Linked DNA regions of Elephas maximus indicus. The protein of the gene in region 1 purifies or fractionates together with the protein of each later gene. This does not show direct contact. Links are inferred from orthologs where the notes say so. Each region holds a gene or a part of one and is shown on either strand. Other genes may lie near its edges. The genes, in order: CAV1, KCNA5 and TRPC1.

Region 1 (7,405 bases):
TCTTCATACTCCTACCAAGAGGTCAGGCCTTTCCTTGGCCCTCGATGTCCCTCAAAGAAAGCCCTCTGCCAAGGATGGCTTAGGCCCACGATTTCTCAATTCAGATAGATCCAGACAATAAATTCCTCTGACTAGATTTGCTAAAATGGGTCAAAGTTGAATAACATAATAGTAACCAAAAAACTGACCACTGAGCCAGCTATAAGTTTGCGCATAACTTATTCAATCTATTTTTAGTCTTACTAAACATATCCTGAAATTACAAGAAGGAACCCCAACCCCAGTATCCCCTTAGCTCAGGGCAGGCTGACCTGTTAGCCACTAAAGAAGCATCTTTCCATACCTAACGAGGGGTGTCTAGAGGAGAAATCAAGAGGTGCACAGTAGTTTGTTTTTGTAAAGTTGCTTAGCTGTGCACAGGCGCCATGCTTTTCTAGTTGAAATACCCTTCCCTCAATTATAATTATAAATGTAGTATATACAGAAATATATGTGTATGTTTGTATATATATGTGTGTGGAAACCCTGGCGGCCTAGTGGTTAAGTGGTAGCCAAAGGGTCGGCAGTTTGAATCCACCAGGTGCTCCTTGGAAACTCTATGGGACAGTTCTACTCTGTCCTATAGGGTTGTTATGAGTCGGAATCGACTTGAGGGCACTGGATTATATATGTGTGTTGTGTGTGTATATACGTGTATATATACGCAGTAATATATATATTTATATATGTTTTGTTTTTGGGGGGACCTATTTATATATATATATTTTTTTTTATATATTATTCCACTTTATTATTTTTAAGAAAATCACTTCAGGGTATTTAGCAGTGGGCTGCCCATTCTGTATTCTGCTCTCACCTTTGGCACATGACCTTACACAGTTATCTTACTACCTTAATTCCATGTTCGGTGGGTGTCACCCTTCACTAGATTGCACTAGACTCCGACCTGGAAATCGAGAGGGTCTCTTATAACGTGGCCATCTCACCTTCCCAAATAATCTGAGCCTGTCTGTTGCTGAGGTCAGGAGGCTATTTACCAGAAGAAAAGCGCAGTTATATGGGCTACAAAACTCAAGTTAACTAAATTCCAGCTGAACTAAGCAAGGCGGGGGGTGGTGGGGAGGGGGGCGGGGAGGATGTGACATTTCAACATTTCTAACAACCGCACGCGCTCCCACACATCCAGCCTAGAAAACGGCGTGTGTGGCAAAGCTAGAAAAGAACGCACAGGCTGATTGCCAGGGGTGGGCTGTCCAGGCCCTGACAGCGGCCCCTTAGGGACGTCCCCTCCCCTCTTGCCGCCTCCGCTTACCTTGACCACGTCGTCGTTGAGATGCTTGGGGTCGCGATTGACCAGGTCGATCTCCTTGGTGTGTGCGTCGTACACTTGCTTCTCGTGCATCTCCTCTGCCATGTCCCTGTTGTTGGGCTTGTAGATGTTGCCCTGTTCCCGGATGGGAGCGGTATAGAGATGTCCCTGTGGAGCGCGGACGGCCAGGAGGGAGAGGGTGGCACCAGTGGTGGCAAGAGAATTTAAAAAAGAAAAACAAGCGAGCAGAAGTTAACCTGGCTGTGAGGAAAACCTCGAGGATTGAAATCGAACTAACCGCGTCGGCAGCGGCGGCTCCGCGCAGAGTCAACTCTTTGGCGCCGCAAGCTTTTTAAGAGGATCCAGGCGAGGACACCACACCCCTCAGTACCAGGCAGGGAGCGCCAGCCTCCCCCGCCCGCCGCCAGGGGTCAGGGCGAACCCCACGGCCCGGTCCGCCGTGGCCCCCGCCCCGCGCGCACCCTGCGTGCAGTACCCGGTGGAGACCCCTAGCTGGGAGGGGGCCCCCCAGATCTCTGACTTGGCTCCAGCCCCTCTCCCCGTCACACCACCCTCGCCCCGAAGGCTTCACCTGCTCCAATGCCCTTCCCCAGTCCCTCCATAATCCCCGTCTCTCCATAATCCCTTCCAGTTTCATCCTTAAGAGTTTATCCTCATTTTCGTCTTCGCATTTTCGTTGTTTCCTGACAGCTCGCACCTGCCCACGTGCCCCACCCTACCTCTGCCCTCTGTTGACCCCCCCCCCAAGTTTTCCCCTTCCTTTATAGTGGTTACAGTCCCGTATCCCCTCGTCTCTGGGCCGAGCCACGTGCCGAACCCCCGAAATTCCCCATCCGAGCAACATCTCACTCGCACTCCTCCCCCGACCCACCCTCAGGTAACTCCTAGACCGCAGGCCTGTGACTGAACCGCTTGTGCGTTTGGGAAAACGAATTCTCCACACCCGGGAGGATGCGGGACGTGGGGAGGTGGTTGCAAGCGGTGGTGGTAGTGGCGGAGAGCGCGGTCTGCTCCTCTCCAAACACCCCTGCCGGGCGCCAAGATGCAGGAAGAGTTCTTGAGATAGCCCAAGAGCTTTGGAAAGTGCAAATACGGCAAGCGGTCCGGGCGCCTGGCGGGGACTCTCGGGGACTGTCCCCAGGCCTGCGAGTAAACGACCTCCTCCCGCCCTCTCCATCCTCCCGCCCAGTGCTCCAGCTCCCCGCCTCGCAACAGGTAGGGGCCGGTTCGTGGGGGCCCGAGACAAGGGAGCGTCCCAGACACATCCAGAAAATGCGTTCTCGGGCCGGCAGACTCAACCTCAGGACCCCGACCCTCTTTTCCGCGTTCCCCTAGCTCAGAGGCCCCGCTGCCCCCTGCCCCACAGGAAAACTTTCTTGGCTCCTCTTCGCCTCCCCCGCCCAGGTCCATTCCTTAGCCGTGCCAACGCGCGAGGAGTGCCCCAAAGTCAAGAGAGGGCTGGGGCTGGAAAAGCAGCTGGAATATGTGGAGTAGGACATAGCCGGCACAGGTACTACACGTGCGCCCCGCGCCCAGGACCGCAGCCTACCTCGGAATCTACGTATTTGCCCCCAGACATGCTGGCCGGTGGCTGGATGAAGGCTCTCAGGAGGCTTCCCTGGGCTGCGATTTAAGGGAACTGAGGAAGGAAGATCTTGTATTGTATAGAGGGAAAAAAAGGCACTGGCGGCGGGCGGTGGCTGGGAGCGCGCCTCCTGGCCGCGCGCCAGGAGTTTGTTCTGCTCGCGGTTGGCCAGGACGTGCGCGGCGCTGGGTCTAGGCACATCCCCAAAGTTCTGGCAGCAGAGGGCGGGGAGGGCCCGCAGGGAGCGGAGAGCGAGTGGGAAAGCTTGAGCGCGCGGAGGGCTGTTTGGGCAGATGTTTTAAACCTGGGGCAACATTTTCCTAGCTATGAGCCACCGAGAGGCATCTTGAGGACAGCGAATGCTTTCGCAGTGCATCATCCGAGCAAGGGTGGGGGTGCACGCAGCCGACCGGCCTGCAGAGATGCCCAGAATGGGCACTCGAGCCGTCGGAAGGAATTCTCCCCTCTTCCAAGCCCTTTTTCGCCTTGCCCACTTTTCATCGCCTCCTGAGAAACATGGCTCCACCATTCAGAGGAACGGGTGAAGAGTGGCTCGAAACCTTTAGGTGTATTTCACATCGAGACACAAGAAGGAATTTAAGTGGTGCACGTGTGTGTGCTTTTGGTGACACTTGTTTACGTCTAGGCGGCGTGGATAGCAACTTGGATAAACCGGCACGCGCAATTTGATGTTTCACGACCGCTTCTGAAATGTTTCCCAAATGCTTTGAAATGAATACAAATGTTTGACATTTCTCTAATTTTACTACTGCTCTTTTCTTGAACAAAGAAAATTCATGCCAATAGATTATGCCATATTTACAAAATATATACAATATTTAACGGTAAAGAAATGTTTAAAGCTTGGAATTTATTACCAGACAAGAATTTAAAAAAAAAAAAAAAACGTATCGGGCTGTGAGCTAGGGGGAACTTGGGTTTCCTAGTGTTATGGATTGCATTGTGTCCCCCCCCCCAAAAATGTGTGTCGTTTTGCCTAGACCATGATTCCCAGTATTGTGTGATTATTCACCATTTTGTCATCTGATGTGATCGTCCTTTGTGTTGTAAATCCTACCTCTAAGATTTTAATGAGGCGGGATTAACGGCATTATGTTAATAAGGCAGGACTCAATTTACAAGATCAGATTGGCTCTTAAATCAATCTCTTTTGAGATATAAAAGAGAGACTCCGTCAGAGAGACAGGGGATCTCATACCAACGAGAAGCAAGAGCCAGAGGAGCAGCAGTCCTTTGGACCCCATCCCTGCGCTCAGAAGTTCTAGACCAGGTGAAGACTGCTGACAAGGACCTTCCCCCAGAACCTACACAGAGAGAAAAAGCCTTCTCCTGGAGCTGGCACCCTGAATTCGGACTTGTAGCCTCCTAGACTGTGAGACAATAAACTTCTGTTTGTTGTAGCCGCCCACTTGTGGTATTTCTGTTAGAGCAGCACCAGATAACTGAGACACCTAGTAACTGATACGGGAATTTTTAAAAACTTGTCAGCAATTAAAATATTTTATCTGTCCCCCAATTGCGACTTCTCTTTACCTTATCATAAGCAGCACAAGATGAATTAAACTACTCCTCATTTTACTTTTTGGCTATAATAAGACAGGAAATAAACTATCCAAAAATGGAAAGAACTTTTTCCCTAAGGTTACATATGTAATTAAAAGTCAATTATATACGTGTGTATTTACTTCACGTTATAATTGACGTATACATATATATGTCGATTTTCACTTAAGGTAAAAAAGCTGGGAATACACCTAAAAGGTCACAGGTTAATTAAAAACACTGGCAATCTAGAAAGGTAAAAAAGCTGGGAATACACCTAAAAGGTCACAGGTTAATTAAAAACACTGGCAATCTAGAAAGGGGAATAAAGGAGTGGGCAAAAGGAGGAGGAGAAGGGAAGATACAGAATAGAATCATAACAAAGTAGATTATCTAGTTGGAGAGAAAAAGGTATGAACATATGAAAAGGAAACCATAAAGGACAGGCTATTGATGGTAGCAAAAAGACAACACAATATTTAATTAAAAAGATCTATTTCAACCAGGAATATTAGGCAAAGTGTCACGAATGTTGGCATGACTTTCGGTATGCTGGTTATTCATCACTAGAAGGCTGAAGATCTTTTAAAAGTTGGGTTTTCTTCATTTTATTTCTGCCAAATTGCATTTCTAAATTCTTTGAACAAATCATGTGTTAAAGAACATGATATGCTAGCAAAGGATGGTGCCAGGTTTAATATGCTGTGTAGTGACTAGTCTACCTCTACTGATTACTGTTGGCTTAACTCTTTCTTCATAAATATTTGCTACAAAACAGTTGGGGTTATGGTCTATGGAAAAATGTCCAAAGCATTTCCCATCTATTGTTACTCAGTCTTCAGCTGCGGATGAGTAATTTTGACCGTGGGGGGAAAAAATCAAGAGGAACACGGAGAGAGCTTGTCCTGCATTCCAGCAAGGAAAGGACTTTCTTGGGAGGCTGTTGAGTGAATGCTTAACCAGCACTCCACTGAGGGAAAGCCAAGCCTGCTGGGGTAAGTCCACAGAGACGGTGAATTAACAGCTGCAATCGTGATGATCAGTGAAGCGTTGTCAATGCCAAATGAATTCCTAATGAAAGGAAAAACCACAAACTCCTTATTAACCTGCCTCAACAAGAAGCTGGCACCAGAGAGAAACAGATCTAATTCTGGTTATAATAACAAACTTTGAATAATAGCTCCACCTTTATGAGAAAGAAAAGACGAAGAAGAACATTGTTAGCATGAGAACACCATTTGAAATGACTACATGATATAAAAAATAAAAATATTGTTTCTTTGATACTCACACAGATAACTGTATGCTTGGAGGTAAGTTAATAGCTTTCTCCAAATCATTTACTAAGAATTGGGTAGATGGCAACTCATTTCTCATTACTTTTTTTTTTTTAGAAGTAGGATTAAAGGTCAGTTCATGTATCAAAGTTTACGAGAAAAATGTAAGGGACACAGATCAGCTGGTCCAACCATCCTAGAGATGAGGAAAGTGGTATTGAAATATGTTAAACTGTTTGTTCTTTAGAAGGTTTATTGGGTAATGAAACATTTTAAAGTTGATAAATGACAACAGCAGCAGTTAACTTAAGGGATGTATTTGACTATGTACAGCAGTATAAATTTGATGATATTTAAATAGCACAGTAGTATAAATTTGACTGTATTCAAGTAGTATAGTCAGGGCAAAATTCTGACGTGAACTTAGCTGTTTTTGTGTTCTCTCATCTCCTTCTCTGAGCCCGCTTTCCCCCTGTCACGACTTCCTCTTCCCATCCTTCCCATCCTGAGTTCTTTTTTACTTTCCAATCAGTTTCCCTGGAGTTGGCTCCTACTCATGGTGACCCCAGGTGTGTCAGAGTAGAACTGTGCTCCACAGGGTTTTCAATGGCTGATTTTTTGGAAGTAGATCACCAGGCCTTTCTTCCAAGGCTAACCTCGGGGTGGCCTGAAATTTCCAACCTTTTGGTTAGCAGCTGAGTGTCCTTAACTGTTCGCATCACTCCTATGTTCAGCTAAAAAAAAAAAATGTTTAGCTAGCTTCATCTAATTCCCACTCTAGGATTAGGTGATAAGGAGTCCAAGTTTTGACCACTTACAATGGTATTAGTAGTTTTAAGAAACAGATTTCTTTCCAACAATTTCCAAATACGTTTTTGTCAGTTAGTCCAGAAAAGAGATTATAATAGGGGCTATCATGTGGAATGATAGGAAACACCTTTAATAACCAGTATGACAGAGCCACTGATCAGTCATTCTGGACTGTAGCTGTCTTGGAATCCTGCTGGCTAGGCATTAGTCCTTCCTTTAGTTGCTGGATCATGGGGTGCAGGGCTCAGGAGAAGGGCTGCAGGGAGGTGAGGCATTTTGGAGCAGTGACTGTTTACATGAAGGCACATAAATCTGTCCGTATTTTTACAACCTATGTGTTCAGCTGAATCTTTACTCTGTTTGTCACCATTAGCACCCCACACACCTTACACTATTCTTCACACCCCGATTCCCCCTTCCCCCACCACTGAATGCCATTTTAAAGTGGGAAAAACTGGTTTTCTAGGGGAAGGCTTGTCACACCCTTTAAGCCTTTCTATCCTTATTCAAAGCGTCCTGGTGGTGCAGTGGTTTAGTAGCTTACCCACTAGAGGCTCTTCGTGAGAAAGATGTGGCAATCAGCTTTCGGAAAGATTACAACCTGGGAAATCCTATGGGGGCAGTTCTGCTCTGTCTTATGGGGCTGCTATATGTTGGAATCAATTCAATGGCAACAGGTTTTTGGTTATCCTTATTCAGGCTTGAAGGTCCCATAGCATCTTCTCTGGTTTGGATCTTTCCACTTTGAGTATTTTAAATGATTTTTTTTTCTGTTTCTTTTCTTAAAAGACATAAAAACAACTATTTCTACTTTAAAAAGAATTTCTAAGACAGATGAGA
Region 2 (7,723 bases), on another chromosome or scaffold:
TCCAAAAGATGTCACTGATCAAAACCTTAGCTCTCCAAGTTTTCTACTGCAGTCGGAGCATTTGCTCTGACTCCAAAACCAGAAACTGCAAGTGGCAGACCGAGAAATTAAAAATAATAATAAAAAAAAATACATCGGCTAAAGAAAAACTAACACTTGCCTCAACCAAGTAACATTTTATTTCCTGGGATAAAAATAAAGAGAATGAATTATCAGAAGTCTGCCTCCACCATCATTAAAATCCTTTTTGAAGAAAGTTATGAGAATTGTTTAAGGCGCACAGAAAAGTCAGGTTTGCCTTTTTCCCAGAGTATTTCCTGGCGAGACACGGAGCATCAATACCACATCCCAAAAAAGAGAGGCTTGAGGGCCCGGGAACCAGAACAGCCAACCAGCATCTCTGGCTCTAATGTAAGTATCACAGAAAAACAACTCTCTCCTCCGTAAACACAACATATGTCATGAAAATATATCCAAAATATCTCCAGGTGAACTACAGTACAAAATCCACTTGCCAGTCATAAAAATAAGATTTGCCTCTATACACAAATATAATCATATGTAAAGCAAACTTGGAACACACAGATGAGGGGAGCTTACAAAATCTCTTGGGATCTGGGCTATTTAAAGTCATTTTTTGTTTGGGTTTTCCCTCTGCTGGGTATAGGAAACTGGCTACAAATACAGCCATTTCACAGCGCTCACCATTTCAACAGCTCTTGCGTCATGGAATGTGGTACTTTTTAAAAATAGGCGACCCTTGGTGTTATGGAAAAAAAAAAAAAAGAAGAGGAAAAATGGGGGGTCAAGGGAGGAGGAGAAGGAGGGAGAGAAAGAGGGAGCAAACTTAGGCTACAGGGTAGGCTTGAAACACTCTGTGGTAAAAAGTAGAGACCCGGGTTCAGGAGACCTACATTGTCCCCCACCCCACTTCCCCCCATCCCAGTCTGCCTTGATCTTGGTTTACAGATCTGTTTCCCTGCTGGTGTCCAGGCAAAGAGCATACAGGGACCTCGGTAAGTCCACATTGCTCTTAGCCTTGAGGTTGCATTTTTCTACAGGGCAGCTGCCCCTTCGGGCTCCGTCTGCATTCTCCAGGGACCCCCCAGCCTTGCCAAGGGAAACCTTGCTCCAGCTGGCCTTGTGCAGGCCTCCACCATCAGGCCCTGTCCCCTGGCTCTGGCTTCCCTGCTCTTCCTTAAGGGCTGCCTGGTCCTCGTGGTCCGTCTCCCGGTGGTAAAAGTAGTTGAAGTTGGAGACAATGACGGGCACTGGCAGTGCGATGGTGAGGACCCCAGCAATGGCACACAGAGAGCCCACGATCTTGCCCCCAACAGTGATAGGCTTCATGTCCCCATAGCCCACAGTAGTCATGGTGACGACTGCCCACCAGAAAGCATCCGGGATGCTGGAGAAGTGGGTCTCCTGGGTGTCGGCCTCCGCGAAGTAGACGGCGCTGGAGAAGAGGATGACTCCAATGAAGAGAAAGAAGATGAGCAGGCCCAGCTCTCGCATGGAGGCCTGCAAGGTCTTGCCCAGGATCTGCAGCCCCTTGGAGTGGCGGGAGAGCTTGAAGATGCGGAACACCCGGACCAGGCGGATCACTCTGAGGATGGCCAGGGACATGGCCTGCTGCCCATTCTGGCCACCTCCTCCACCTCCTGGTTGTTGCTCTGCCAGCTCGGTGCCCAAGGTGATGAAGTAGGGGAAGATGGCCACCACGTCGATGATGTTCATGATGTTCCGAGAGAAGTCGGCCTTGCTAGGGCAGGCGAAGAAGCGCACCAACAGCTCGAAAGTGAACCAGATGACACACGTGGTCTCCACAATGAAGAAGGGATCGGCCAGGGTCCTAGGCAGAAGCGGTGCCACTGTTGAGCCAGGGGGAGGCACCATGGCCCCGCTGCCATTGGCACCTGGGGCAGGAGCAGGAGGCTGGTGGGGTACTGGGGGATGGCGGAGCAACTCTCCTTCATCCCTGAATTCAGGCAGGGTCTCCAAGCAGAATGTGATGATGGAAATGAGAATGACCAAAACCGAGACGATGGCGATGGCCCGAGCGGACCCAGAGCTTTCCGGGTATTCGAAGATAAGCCACACCTGACGTTGAAACTCATTGCGGGGCAGGGGCTTCTCCTCCTCTTTAATGAAGCCCTCATCCTCCCGGAAGCGCTCCATGGCCTCGTCCCCCAGCTGGTAGAAGCGGATCTCATCCGCGAACACATCCAGCGAGACATTGACCGGCCGCCGCAGCCGGCCCCCTGACTGGTAATAGTAGAGGATGCCATCAAAGCTGGGCCGGTTGCGGTCGAAGAAGTACTCGTTCCTCAGCGGGTCGAAGTAGCGCAAGCGCTTGGCCGGATCCCCCAGGAGGGTGTTGGGAAACTGCGCCAAGGTGCCCAGCTGCGTCTCGAAGCGCAGTCCGGAGATGTTTATGAGGACGCGCTGGTGGAGAAGGGACCCAACGCCCAGCGCCGGATCGTCTGCCATGCCCACGGCAGGGTCGCCTTCTCCCTCCTCGTCCTCCGAAAGAGGTGGTCTAGGCTGCGGCAGCTCCCGGGGCAGCGGTGACAGAGACCGCCCTCCCGGGTCTGCGTCCCTTTGCGCGCTGCTCCCCCTTGGTGCCGGCTCTTTGCTTCCTTCACTGAGCTCAGCCGTCGAGGGACATTGGAGCTCTCCCCCTGTGACTTGGCCACAGCTTGCAGGGGTCTCACCTCCTCCTCGGACGGTCAAGGCACCGCCATTCTCCAGGGGCACCAGGGCGATCTCCATGGCCCAGGGGCAGGGGGCATGCTGAGCCCCTACCGACCGGCTCCGGTGGCACCCGCTCACGTTCCTCCGGGCGCCTGGCGTCAGGCTTCTCCCCCGCGGGTCGTTTGGCCGGCCCCACTTTGGGGCGGGCTGGGTTGGCTGGCAAGATCCCTTCGCTTGGCCCTGACGTCAAGAAGCCGCTGGCCTGCTCTCTGCTTCTCTCTCTGTTCTGGCAGCCGGTTACCAAGCAGCCAAAAAGCTTCTTTCCCGCAGATGCAACCTTCAGCCGCTCCTCTCTGGCTGCGCGGCGCTCGACCTCCAACCTCGGCAGCTCCCCTCCTTCCCCCCGTCCCCTCTTCCTCCTCCCGCCTCCCTTCCCGGGTCTCGTGGCAGCGGGTGTCTCCCCGGAAGGCGCAGCTGGGGCCCCGGGCTAGGGAAGGGAGGGGGGCCGAGGAGGGCGCAGCCGGGCAGAGGGAGGGAGGGAGGGAGTGGGGAGGATGGAGGAACAGGTTGTACCGAGAGCGCTGAAACTCCCAGGGCAACCAGATGAGAATAGCTCTGGATTTCAGTTCACCTGGGAATCCGCTGAACGCCGAGTGGACTCTAGGGGAAATGAATTGCCTTGCGTTGAAGGCATGAGGCTTGGAGCTGGGTCAGCGTATAAGAGACGGGAGAAAACAGTTTTAAATTTTTCCTTTGGAAGAATAGTGGTATCCCATCTATGGGAAGAATGGGGGAGGGAAGGCGGGAGGGAGCGGACGTGGCAGAATGTTGGCCTTTGAATAATTAAACAAATAAACACTCTCCAGACTAGTGCAGAAGCTAAACCCACAATAAGGCACGCGGCTGAAATCTTGGCGTTTCCCCCTGCCCAAACCTATTGCTAGGGAGTCAATTCCAACTCCTAGCAGCCCTATAGGACAGAGTAGACTACCCCATAGGGTTTCCAAGAAGCTCTTCGTAGATTGGAACTGCAAACCTTCTGGTTTGCATCCAAACACTTGACCACTATGCCACCAGGGTTTCCCCTGTCAGTAGCCTTGATTCCCAATCCAGACTGAGGTGCCAGGCCAGGACAGACCCAGGCAGGCAATCCCAGGCAAGCCGCCTCATCAGATTGACTGCCTAGCCACATAACCCAAAGGACACACAGCCCTTCTGTTCTCTCCACCAAATTTTATTTGCAAAAAACTAACAGGGAAGGAGAGGAGGGATGAAGAGATCCTGGGAAGGACTGTTTCCGCTGGTGAAGCACAGAGCTACAAATGGAGCAAGTTTGTCTGCAGAGGCAGAGTTTATGACTGAGAGCCAGGGAGGTTACAGAATCCACACTAGAGAATTCCCAGGAGCAGAATAATAGCAACCAGCATTTACGTGCTCTTATTATGTATCAGGCCCATTCTCAGCACTTTACAAATATTGAGTCTTGTATTTCTCACAGCAACCTATTTTGTGGTGTTGTTGTCATTGTGTGCTTTAAAGCCAGTTCTGACTCATAGCTACCCTATAAAAAATAGGACAGAGTAAAACTTCCCCATAGCGTTTCCTAGGCCATAAACTTTATGGGAGCAGATCACCAGGTCTTTCATCCCACAGAGCTGTTGTTGGTTTTGGACCACAGACCTTTCAGTTAGCAGCTCAGCGCTTTAACCATTGTGCCACCAGGGCTCCTTAACCTATGTTGTAAGAACTACTATTATTCCCTATTTTGTAAGTGCCATTATTATCTGTTGGTTTGTCTCCCGTGGTGGCTTGCATGTTGCTGTGATGATGGAAGCTATGCCACTAGTATTTCAAATACCAGCAGGGTCACCCAGGGTGGATAGGTTTCAGCAGAGCTTCCAGAGTAAGACAGACTAGGAAGAAAGACCTGGCAATCTACTTCTGAAAAACTGGCCAGTGAAAACCTTATATATAGCAGCATATATATTGTCTGATATAATGCGGGAAGATAAGCCCCTCACGCTGGAAGACACTCAAAAGACGACTGGGAAAGAGCTGCCTCCTCAAAGTAGAGTCAACCATAATGACTTGGATGGAGTAAAGCTTTCGGACCTTCACGTGCTGATATAGCACCAGTCACGATGAGAAGAGACAGCTGCAAATATCCATTAGCAATCGAAACGTGGAATTTACAAACTATGAATTTAGGAAATTTGGAAGCTATCAAAAATGAAATGGAATACTTGAAGACTGATATCCTAGGCATTAGTGCACTGAAAGGGATTGGTATTGGCCATTTTCAATCAGACAATCATATGGTCTACATGCCGAGAATGACACCATGAAGAGGAATGGCATTGCTTTCATCCTCAAAAAGAATATTTCAAGACCTATCCAGAAGTACAATGCTGTCAGTGATAGGACAATATCCATATGTCTTCCAGGAAGATCAGTTAATACAACTATTATTCAAATTTATATACCAACCACTAATGCCAAAGATGAAGAAACTGAAGATTTTTACCAACTTCTGCAGTCTGAAATTGATCAAACATGCAATCAAGATGCATTGATAATTACTGGTGATTGGAATGTGAAAGTTAGAAACAAAGAAGATTAGAAGTTGGAAAACAGGGCCTTGGTGATAGAAACAACACCAGAGACCGCATGATAGAACTTTGCAAGACCAACGACTTCTGCATTGGAAATACCCTTTCCAGCAACATAAACACCAGCTATATACGTGGACCTCACCAGATGGAATATATAGGAATCAAACTGACTACATCTGTGGAAACAGACGATGGAGAAGCTCAGTCTCATCAGCCAGAACAAGGCCAGGGGCTGACTTCAGAGCAGACCATCAATTGCCCATATGCAAGTTCAAATTGGAGCCGAAGAAAATTAGATCAAGTCCAAGAGAGGCAAAGTATGACCTTGAGTATATCCCACCAGGATTTAGAGACTATCTCAAGAATAGATTTGATGCATTGACAACTAATGACCTAAGACCAGAGGAGCTGTGGAATGACATCACGGACATCGTACATGAAGAAAATAAAAGATCAATAAAAAGACAGGAAAGAAAGAAAAGACCAAAATGGATGTCAGAAGAGACTCTGAAATTTGCTCTTGAACAGAGTAGCCAAAGCAAATGGAAGAAGTGCTGAAGTAAAAGGGCTGAACAGAAGACTTCAAAGGGTGGCTCTAGAAGACAAAGTGTAATAATGAAATGAGCAAACACCTGGAGTTAGAAAACCAAAAGGGAAGAACGCACTCAGCCTTTCCCAATGTGAAAGAACTAAAGAAAATATTCAAGCCATGAGTTGCAATGTTGAAGGATTTTATGGACAAAATGTTGAACGATGCAGTAAGCATCAAAAGAAGATGAAGGAATACACAGAGTCACTGTACGAAAAAGAATTAGTCAATGTCCAACCATTTCAGGAAGCAGTATATGATCAAGAACTAATGGTACTGAAGGAAGAAGTCCAAGCTGCACTAAAGACATTGGCGTAAAACAAGGCTCCAGAAATCAACGGAATACTAATTGACATGTTTCAACAAACAGTTGCAGTGCTGGAAGTGCTCACTCATCTATACCAAGAAATTTGGAAGATGACTACCTGGTCAATCAACTGGAAGAGATCCATATTTTTGGCCATTCCAAAGAAAGGTGATCCAAGTAAAATTTTGCTGAAGATAATTCAAAATTGATTGTAGCAGTATATTGACAGGGAACTGCCGGAAATTCAAGCCAGATTCAGAAGAGGACATGGAACGAAGGATACCAGTGCTGATGTCAGATGGATCTTGGCTGAAGGCAGAGAATACCAGAAAGGTATGTTACCTTAATTGTGCTCACGAGGAACCTTTACATAGATCAAGAGGCAGTTGTTCGGACAGAATAAGGGGATACTGATTAGTTTAAAGTCAGGAAAGGTGTGCCTCAGGGTTGTATCCTTTCACCATATCTATTTAATCTGTATGCTGAGCAAATAATCCGAGAAGCTGGACTATATGAAGAGGAACGGGGCATCAGGATTGGAGGAAGACTCATTAACAACCTGCGTTGCGCAGATGACACAACCTTGCTTGCTGAAAGTGAAGAGGACCTGAAGCACTTACTAATGAAGATTGAAGACCACAGCCTTCAGTATGGATTACATCTCAACATAAAGAAAACAAAAATCCTCACAACTGGACCAATGAGCAAGGTCATGATAAATGGAGAAAAGATTGAAGTTGTCAAGGATTTCATTTTACTTGGATCGACAATCAACAGCCATGGAAGCAGCAGTTAGGAAATCAAAAGACGCATTGCATTGGGCCAATCTGCTGCAAAGGACCTCTTCAAAGTGTTGAAGAGCAAAGATGTCACCCTGGAGATTAAGGTGCGCCTGGCTCAAGCCATGGTATTTTCCATCGCATCATATGCACGTGAAAGCTGGACAATGAATAAGGAAGACCGAAGAAGAGTTGACACCTTTGAATTGTGGTGTTGGTGAAGAATATTGAATATACCACGGACTGCCAAAAGAACAAACAAATCTGTCTAAGTACAACCAGGATGCTCCTTAGAAGCAAGGATGGCGAGACTGCGTCTTACATACTTTGGACATGTTGTCAGGAGGGATGAGTCCCTGGAGAAGGACATCATGCTTGGCAAAGTACAGGGTCAGCGGAAAAGAGGAAGACCCTCAAGGAGGTGGATTGACACAGTGACTGCAACAATGGGCTCAAGCATAACAACGATTGTGAGGATGGCGCAGGACTGGGCAGTTTTTGTTCTGTTGTGCATAGGGTCGCTATGAGTCGGAACCGACTCGACGGCACCTAACAACAACTACAATCAGAGTTTAGGTCTTTGCTCCCTACACTCCACTGCGTCTATAGAAAGGCATACCACCTTCCCATATACAGATGCTCCCTCTTCCCAACATCTGACCCAAGAGCTTTAGTTTCTTACTGCAGGGGGCAGGTACATAGCTGAGATGACATGTAAACCTTTGTAGTTTAGGAATGCAGG
Region 3 (8,021 bases), on another chromosome or scaffold:
TATCAGGAGGGTCCAGTCCTTGGGGAAGGACATCATGCTTGGTAAAGTAGAGGGTAAGCGAAAAAGAGGAAGACCCTCGACAAGATGGACTGACACAGTGGCTGCAACAATGGACTCAAGCTTAACAAAGATTGTGAGGATAGAGAAGGACTGGGCAGTGTTTCGTTCTGTTGTATACATGTTTGCCATGAGTCAGAACCAACTCGATGGCACCTAATGACAACAAAGTTCAACAATATTAGAGAATACAAATGTAAACAAAAAATGCATTCCTATAACTTAAGTTTATTATTTAATGTAAGTTTATACCATAAAGTATGGATAAGAAATATGCCATTTTTCTAAATCTAATCCAAGAACTTGTTTCAACATACTGAACCATAGGAAATACTTATTTTATCCAATCATTTAAAAATTTTTTTACTTTTAATTTATATAAAAAAACAAACAAAACCCATTGCCTTCGAGTCGACTCCAACTCATAGCAACCCTATAGGACAGAATAGAACTGCCCCCACAGAGTTTTCCAAGGAATGCCTGGTGGATTGGAACTGCCAACCTTTTGGTTAGCAGCAGTAGCACTTAACCACTGTATCACCAGGGTTTCCTGTAAATGGGAAACAAAAGCATGCATATTTAGCTTCCACCTCATCCCCAAAAGACAAATCTTTCCCAGGATCTTAATGATGTTATAAAATGGGAATTGACAAAGGATATCAAACTGTTTATGCTGGCACTACTGGATAGACTACATTAAAACTCCCTTTTGAGATGTGTGACGTAGTATTCCTAAATACACAAGTACCCACTCCAGCCATATCCCATCACGATATTCCTCTGTCCTCAGTTTGGCAGGAATATCAAACTCCCTTTCTTGACATACTTTCCGTTTGCTTTATTGCAACCACAGCACACTGAGCGTGGGCGGGTGCAGCAGCTGCTTGCTCATTCCGGTACAACACACAATCTCTCTCCTCCTCTGGCAGAGAATTTCTGAGGAACGAGGACTCAGGCAAGCTACTCCAGCAATACTAAATAATTTTACATAATCCACAGGCCATAACTTTTGTGAGGTTACAGATCTATATGCTATTTTTCTTTACATTTCCAAGACTACTCAAAGTTGTGTCCCTGGTGAACTTTAACAAATGCTTTTCACAGTATTTAACACCGTTACATAAGAACATAAAAGTGGATTGACAACAGAGGTAGTTAGACCTTATTTATGTCAACGTTTTTTTCAAAAAGTTGGGGAAATAAAATCCTCTTTCAAAACCAGTAAGGAGGTTAGGGTGATGGTCATTTATTAAAAACACAGGCGCAACCACAGGGGCACAGACGAAAAATCCTCCGTAGCGGATACTTCCGCACTCTAAACGGCCCTCGGTTTGTTTTGGAGGTCTGCATTATTCTAAACAAAGTGTTCCTCAGTGAGCATGGCCACTGTACAGCAAGCCACATAAGTTTAGAAGCAGAAAATTTTCAGTGCTTTTTGTACAAGTAGGAAATAAAAGCAGTCTTGGGGCAATCAACTTCCCACTCCTTTTATTATAGGCATCACCAGAAAGCAGGCTTCAATGAAGACTTTAATATGGCCATAAAAGCCATCAATTTCTAGATTTAAAAAAAGAAAGCATACTAAATACAGTCCACATATTTTTGCCCTGTAATTATTGTGCACTACCTTCATTTCCCATAGAAGGCTCGGGAGCAATAAACCTTTCTCTCCCAAAACAGCTCGAACCATCAAAGCTGTTCCATAGGGCTGAAGAAAGTTTTAGGGGCTAAGGCAGAATTTCTCCCGTTCTGCTTACTTCATATATCTCCAGCTATGATATAGAGATGCCTAACTCCGTTCAATAGTCACTGAACATATATTGGCTAAGGCACCGGGCAGCTGAAGCGAAATAAGAGAAGTAAAATCTTAAAAAAAAAAAAAAAACGAAACCCAGTGAGAGCCCATAAACACGAGAAACCTTAAGGCAGGGTCGTGGAATTTCTGGACTAGAAGGTCCCAGTGAAAGGAGACAAAGCCCCTCGGCCCCCAGAAGAAAAGAACTGAGGTCCCGAGAGGTAGACCAAGGCAGAGCCGGGGCTAGGACCCCCATGTTCGGGTCCTCGGGGTGCTACCTAAACATGGGACAGCACGAGGGGAAGCCACGCCAGAGCAGTCCCCGCCGCCAGCCCGGCACTGGGAGCGCAGAGGCGGTGCGGGCGGCACCGACAAGGCAGCGAGCGCGGCGGGAGCGCAGGCTCGGCGCGTGGGAAAAAGTGCGCCGCGAGTAAACTGAGGCAGGGAGAGGAAGAAGGGTGCGCAGGGCAGGGGCGTCCCGAAGGCGGGGAAAGGGGCCAGCTCTCACCCTTGTCGCACGCCAGCAAGAAAAGCTTCTCATTCAGGGTGTTCTCCTCCTTCACCTCCCGCACATTCTTCAGAGCCGTCACCTCGTTCGGCGACCAAGAGGAGGATGGGGAGGACGGCAGGGAGGAGGCGGAGGCGCCCGAGAGGTCCGTGCTCGGGTACAGGGCCGCCATCATCGCGGCCCACGACGGGGGCAGGCCGGGGGACGGGGGCGGGGCCCCCAGCGGCCCCGGCTCCGGCCCCAGCCCCGCCCCGCTGCTGGAAAAGGGGTGAGTCGCTCCCCCGACCGCCTGGGAGCGCGGCCCCTTGGCCCCGCAGGGTGTCGTCTCCCCTCGGAGCCAGCACTCGCCCTCCACAGACAGCCCCAGGTTGCTGGCGGCGCATGCGCGGGCCCGGGGCCAGCGCCCCCTTCCCAGCCGCCGGCGCCCCGGCCGAGCCGGTCCGCGCCCGTCCGGGGACGACAGGGTGGCGCGCGCCAGGGCAGCAGCCGGGCGCGGGGCCGTGCCAGGAGCCGCAGAGGCCGCGTGGGAGGCGGCCCGGCCCGCGTGGAGGACGAGGGCTCGGTGGGAGAGGAGCCCTGAGAGGCGCTTCTGCGCACGTCGGGCTCCGGGGCCGTGGAGCCGGCGGTCGAGCTGCGCCCCGAGGAGATGCTCGCGACTCTCTCCTCACGTCATCCTGCGCTCGGCGACAGCGACGACAGCGGGGCGGGGCCTGCCGAGCTAGGGCTCAGGGGCCAGCGGCTCGGGGTGGGCGGGGCCTGGGGGGGCGGGCTCGAGGGACGCCCCACCTACCCCCCGGCCGCTTGCGGGCTGCTTCGCGCGCAGAGGAGGGGACCGGCCCGTTCCACCCTCTCCACGCAGAAATTGCTGGTGGCAGGCGGTTTCCACGCTGTCTCCTGCGCACATTCACTAAAGATGCAGCGGTATGCTAATTGAGTTTCTGACGACTTAACGTTCAGTCGAAACCCCTCGTGCCCTTTGCAAGAGCATTTTATATTCCGGTGCACGCTACCTAAAGCTGAAAGGAGGGAGCCCCGCATGTGTCCATCTGCGTACCTACATCGAGCTGGCTACCTCATTTCTAAAGACCGTATTTTTTAACAACTCTCTTGTGATCTGAAATTGCCATACCATTCCTGGCGTCACACATTTATTTATTCCACGAATTCAAGTGTACTTACTGATATGAAACCAACGGCAAAGCGTATTTTTAGGACCTGCTCTCCATCACAGTCGTTCCAGTGGTTTCCTGTTCCTCTTTACATTTATCAATTTCATTTTGAAAGATGGCCTTGTTATTCAGGCAAAAGCTGACTGAAGCTCAGTAAGTGCTACTTCCTTGAATAATTTATTTTTTATCAAGGTTCTATTTAAAGCAAATTATCCATTATAGAATATTGCTGTTGTCTTGCATCTTAAAAAGCTAGGGAGAAAAGCTGGAAGTTACATCTCTTGAATAATTACTATTGCTTCCCACGACAAATTGTACCAAAACCTTAATTGTGCACTTAAGATTTCAGGCTTTAAAGCAATACATAAATTTGTGTGCGAAAGAGGGTTTTTGTCCTGTCCTATTAGCGGATCAAAATAAGACAGAAGTCACACCACCAGTGGCAAGGGAAACAAAGTGGAAATTTATTGTTTGCACAAATAAGGAGCAAGGTGGAACCTAGCAACCTAAAGGACCACAGGCTCCCAGCCCCAGGGGAGCTTGGAGCTTTTATGCCCTCCAGTCCCTGGGAGGGGGGCGGGATTGGCACCCAAAATCCAACACTCCGCTCCCTCCCATGTCCATATTTGGAGTTCTAGGTGCTGACTCATTTAGCAAAGGAAGGGACATTTTGTTCAGCAAATGGGCTTGGGTGCAGCTGTGTGCCAGAGTACACCTTCCTCTCCCGGGAAGTTCAGGTCGGGGTCAAGTTCAGGCCTACGGCTCTTCAGGTCCTGTGCATGCCTGGAGATCTTGGTTTCCGCATGCGTGGGATTTCGGTGCCAAATTCAAACCACGGGCAGGGCCAACGGCGCGATTGGGCCAAGGTGCAGTTAGAAACCTCGGCTTGGCGGGCTACGAGGGAGGGAGGGGGAAAACTGCAGCATAGCAGGGGAAGCCGCGGAGGCGGCTTCAATTTTACCTCAGCATCTTATATTTGAGGGGAATACTTCCTACTCAGGGCCCCTAGGGGCCCAAATGGTTAAGCACTCAACTACTAACCGAAAGGTTGGCAGTTCAGGCCCATCCAGAAGTAAGGCCTGGCGATCTGCTTTAGAAAGGCCACGCCTTGAAAACCTCTGGAGCAGTTCTATTCTGCACACATGGGGCCGTTATGACTTGGAATCCACTCCATGTCACCTTAACAACAACCTCCTACTCCATTCAGGTTGATTTGTTTCATCTCTGCCAACACCTTCGGCCCCAAATCTATCATTCGGAGTCCTCTCTAGATCTTCTGTAAGAGGCCTTAGCAGATAGCAAGATTGCCCATCTTTCCCGGCATCTTTATGTGTGTACAGACTTCAAAATAGTTGATTACCTATTGTATCATTTAGTTGTTTTGTCTTGTCTGTAAAACCCCACCCGCTGCTGTCAAGTGGGCTCCAACTCACAGCAGCCCTACAGGACAGAGTAGAACTGCCCCACAGGGTTTCTCAGGCTGTACTCTTTACGAAGCAGACTGCCACATCTTTATATCCTGTGGAGCAGCTGGTGGGTTCAAACCATCAACCTTTGGGTTAGCAGCCAAGGGCTTAACCAGTGCACCACCAGGGTTCCTTGTCTATAGCAAAACCAAACCCATTGCCGTCAATTCTGACTCATAGCAATCCTATAGGACAGACTAGAACTGCCCCCACAGGGTTTCCAGGGAGGGGCTGGTGGATTCAAACTGCTGACTTTTTGGTCAGCAGTTGTGTTCTTACCCACCACGCCACCGGGGCTCCTGTTTGTCTATGCCCCACCCAGATTGTAAGTCTCCATTCCATAATGTTTAATACAGTTCCAAGTTTGTGGAATGTCAAAATCACTCATTGTAGACTTGTGGCCAGTAAGCAGTGTTTATACGCATATCTGTGTGTGTATTTAGACACTCTTTGTTGCTGTGTGCCTTCCAGTCGATTCTGACTCAGGGTGACACCTCTTTTAGAAATTAATCCGGTCCTTATGAGAGTCCTCTGGATAAATTCTCTGGAACTTCTAGACGAATTGGGGTTAGTAGTCCCACAAAAGTTTTAGTCAGTAGCAGAATAACCCCAATTCATCCAGACATTCCTGAGTATTTTAGGATAAATATTCTCTCTATATAATTTTTTTTTGGGGGGGGAGGCTGACTCAAAAACTACTTTAATATGATGCGTTTTCAAGCTTCTGGGCTTAGGTGATTGATTCCTTATCCAGAGGACTCCCATAAGTACTGGGTTAATTTCCAAAGATTGGGGGAATTCCAACCTACTTTAGTAGATAATCCTAGGAGGCATACCAAAGTATTTGGGACATTCCTCCTTTAAAGTAAACCCATATTGATGGTATGATACTATACATAGAAAACCCAAAAGACTCAAAGAGAAAACTACTGGAACTAATAGAAAGATTCAGCAGAGTAGCAGCATACAAGATAAACGTACAAAAATCAGTTGGATTCCTATACACCAATAAAGAAAGTGATGAAAAGGAAATCAGGAAAACAATACAATTTATAATAGCCCCTAAAAAAATAAAATACTTAGAAATAAATCTAACCAGGGATGTAAAAGACCTATACAAAGAAAACTACTAAACGCTACTGCAAGAAACCAAAAGTGAACTACATAAACGGAAAAACATACCACGCTCACAGATAGGTAGACTCAACATTGTGAAAATGACAATTCCACCCAAAGCGATTTACAAATACAATGCAATCCCGATCCAAATACCAACAACATCCTTTAAAGAGTTGGAAAAACTTATCATTCACTTTATATGGAAAGGGAAGAAGCCCCGGATAAGTAAAGCACTACTGAAGAAGAAGAATGAAGTAGGAGGACTCACACTACCTGACCTCAGAACCTACTATACAGCTACAGTAGTCAAAACAGCCTGGTACTGGTACAACGACAGATACATTGACCAGTGGAACAGAATTGAGAACTCAGATGTGAGTCCATCCACCTATGGTCATCTGATCTTTGTCAAGGGCCCAAAGTCCATCAAATGGGGAAAAGACAGTCTGTTAAACAAATGGAGCTAGCAAAACTGGATGTCCATCTGCAAAAAAACAAACAAACAAAAAAATGCAACAGGACTCATACCTCATACTATATACAAAAACTAACTCAAAATAAATCAAAGACCTAAATATAAAACCAAAAACCATGAAGTTCACAGAAGAAAAAATAGGATCAACGCTAGAGGCCCTAATACACGGCATTAACAGGATATAAACCACAACCAACAATACACAAGCTCCAAAAGATAAGCTAGATAACTGGGATCTTCTAAAAATTAAACACCGATGCTCATCAAAAGACTTCACCAAAAGAGTAAAAAGAGAACCTACAGACTGGGGGAAAAAAAATGGCTATTACAAATCAGACAAAGGTTTAATCTCCAAAATCTACAAGAAAATCCAACACCTCTACAACAAAAAGACAAATAATCCAATTAAAAAATAGGCAAAGGAAATGAACAGACACGTCACAAAAAAAGACATTCAAGCAGCCAACAGACACAGGAGGAAATGCTCAGGATCTCTAGCCATCAGAGAAATGCAAATCGAAACCACAATGAGATACCATCTCACCTCGGCATTACTGGCACAAATCAATAAAACAGGAAGTAAATGTTGGAGAGGCTGCAGGGAGATCAGAACACTTATGCACTGCTGGTGGGAATGCAAAATGATACAACCATTTTGGAAAACGATATGGTGCTTCCTCAGAAAGCTAGAAATAGAAATACCATATGATCCGGCAATCCCACTGCTAGACATATATCCTAGAGAAATAAGAGTCATCACATGGACAGACATATGTACACCAATGTTCATTACAGCATTATTCACAACAGCAAAAAGATGGAAACAACCTAGATGCCCATTAACAGATGAATGGATAAAAAAACTATGGTACATACACACAATGGGGTATTATGCAACGATAAAGAACAACGATGAATCTGTGAAGCATCTCATAACATGGAGGAAATCTGGACGGCATTATGCTGAGTGAAATAAGTCAATCACAAAAAGGACAAATGTTGTATGAGACCATTACTATAAATACTTATGATAAGGTTTACATATAAAAAGAAACAATCTTCGATGGTTATAAGGGAGTGGAGGGGTGGGGATGGAAAAACACTTAATAGACAATACATAAGTGGAAACTTTGGTGAAAGGTAAGACAGTACACAATACTGGGGAAGCCAGCACAACCTGTACAAGGCAAGGTCATGGTAGCTCTATAGACACATCCAAACTCCCTGAGGGACAGAATTGCTGGGCCAAGGACTGTGGGGACCATGATCGCCAGGAATATCTAGTTCGTCTGGCATAACATAGTTCATAAAGAATATGTTCTACATTCTACTTTGATGAGTAGCATCTGGGGTCTCAAAAGCCTGTGAGGCACCATCTAGGATACTCCACTGGTCTCACCCCTTTGGGAGCAAGGAAGAATGAAGAAAACTA

What was found.
Region 2: the proteins of CAV1 (region 1) and KCNA5 purify together in Homo sapiens (affinity purification with western blotting, with the first as the bait; 3 studies listed by BioGRID). This does not show direct contact. The link is inferred for Elephas maximus indicus from reciprocal best matches to the Homo sapiens genes CAV1 and KCNA5.
Region 3: the proteins of CAV1 (region 1) and TRPC1 purify together in Homo sapiens (affinity purification with western blotting; 3 studies listed by BioGRID and IntAct, with this or other methods). This does not show direct contact. The link is inferred for Elephas maximus indicus from reciprocal best matches to the Homo sapiens genes CAV1 and TRPC1.

What each region holds. Positions count from the first base shown.
Region 1 is NC_064826.1:33,195,070-33,202,474, forward strand, and holds the start of CAV1 (caveolin-1), read right to left. Parts: upstream 3,004-7,405; 5' UTR 2,910-3,003; coding exon 2,880-2,909; intron 2,400-2,879; exon of another isoform or gene 2,202-2,399; intron 1,478-2,201; coding exon 1,313-1,477; intron 1-1,312. UniProt on the Homo sapiens protein: May act as a scaffolding protein within caveolar membranes. Forms a stable heterooligomeric complex with CAV2 that targets to lipid rafts and drives caveolae formation. Mediates the recruitment of CAVIN proteins (CAVIN1/2/3/4) to the caveolae.
Region 2 is NC_064822.1:61,626,249-61,633,971, reverse strand, and holds the start of KCNA5 (potassium voltage-gated channel subfamily A member 5), read right to left. Parts: upstream 3,084-7,723; 5' UTR 2,773-3,083; coding exon 964-2,772; 3' UTR 1-963. UniProt on the Homo sapiens protein: Voltage-gated potassium channel that mediates transmembrane potassium transport in excitable membranes. Forms tetrameric potassium-selective channels through which potassium ions pass in accordance with their electrochemical gradient.
Region 3 is NC_064841.1:17,106,809-17,114,829, forward strand, and holds the start of TRPC1 (short transient receptor potential channel 1), read right to left. Parts: upstream 3,024-8,021; 5' UTR 2,536-3,023; coding exon 2,361-2,535; intron 1-2,360. UniProt on the Homo sapiens protein: Forms a receptor-activated non-selective calcium permeant cation channel. Forms a heteromeric ion channel with TRPC4 or TRPC5 that has reduced calcium permeability compared to the homomeric TRPC4 or TRPC5 channel.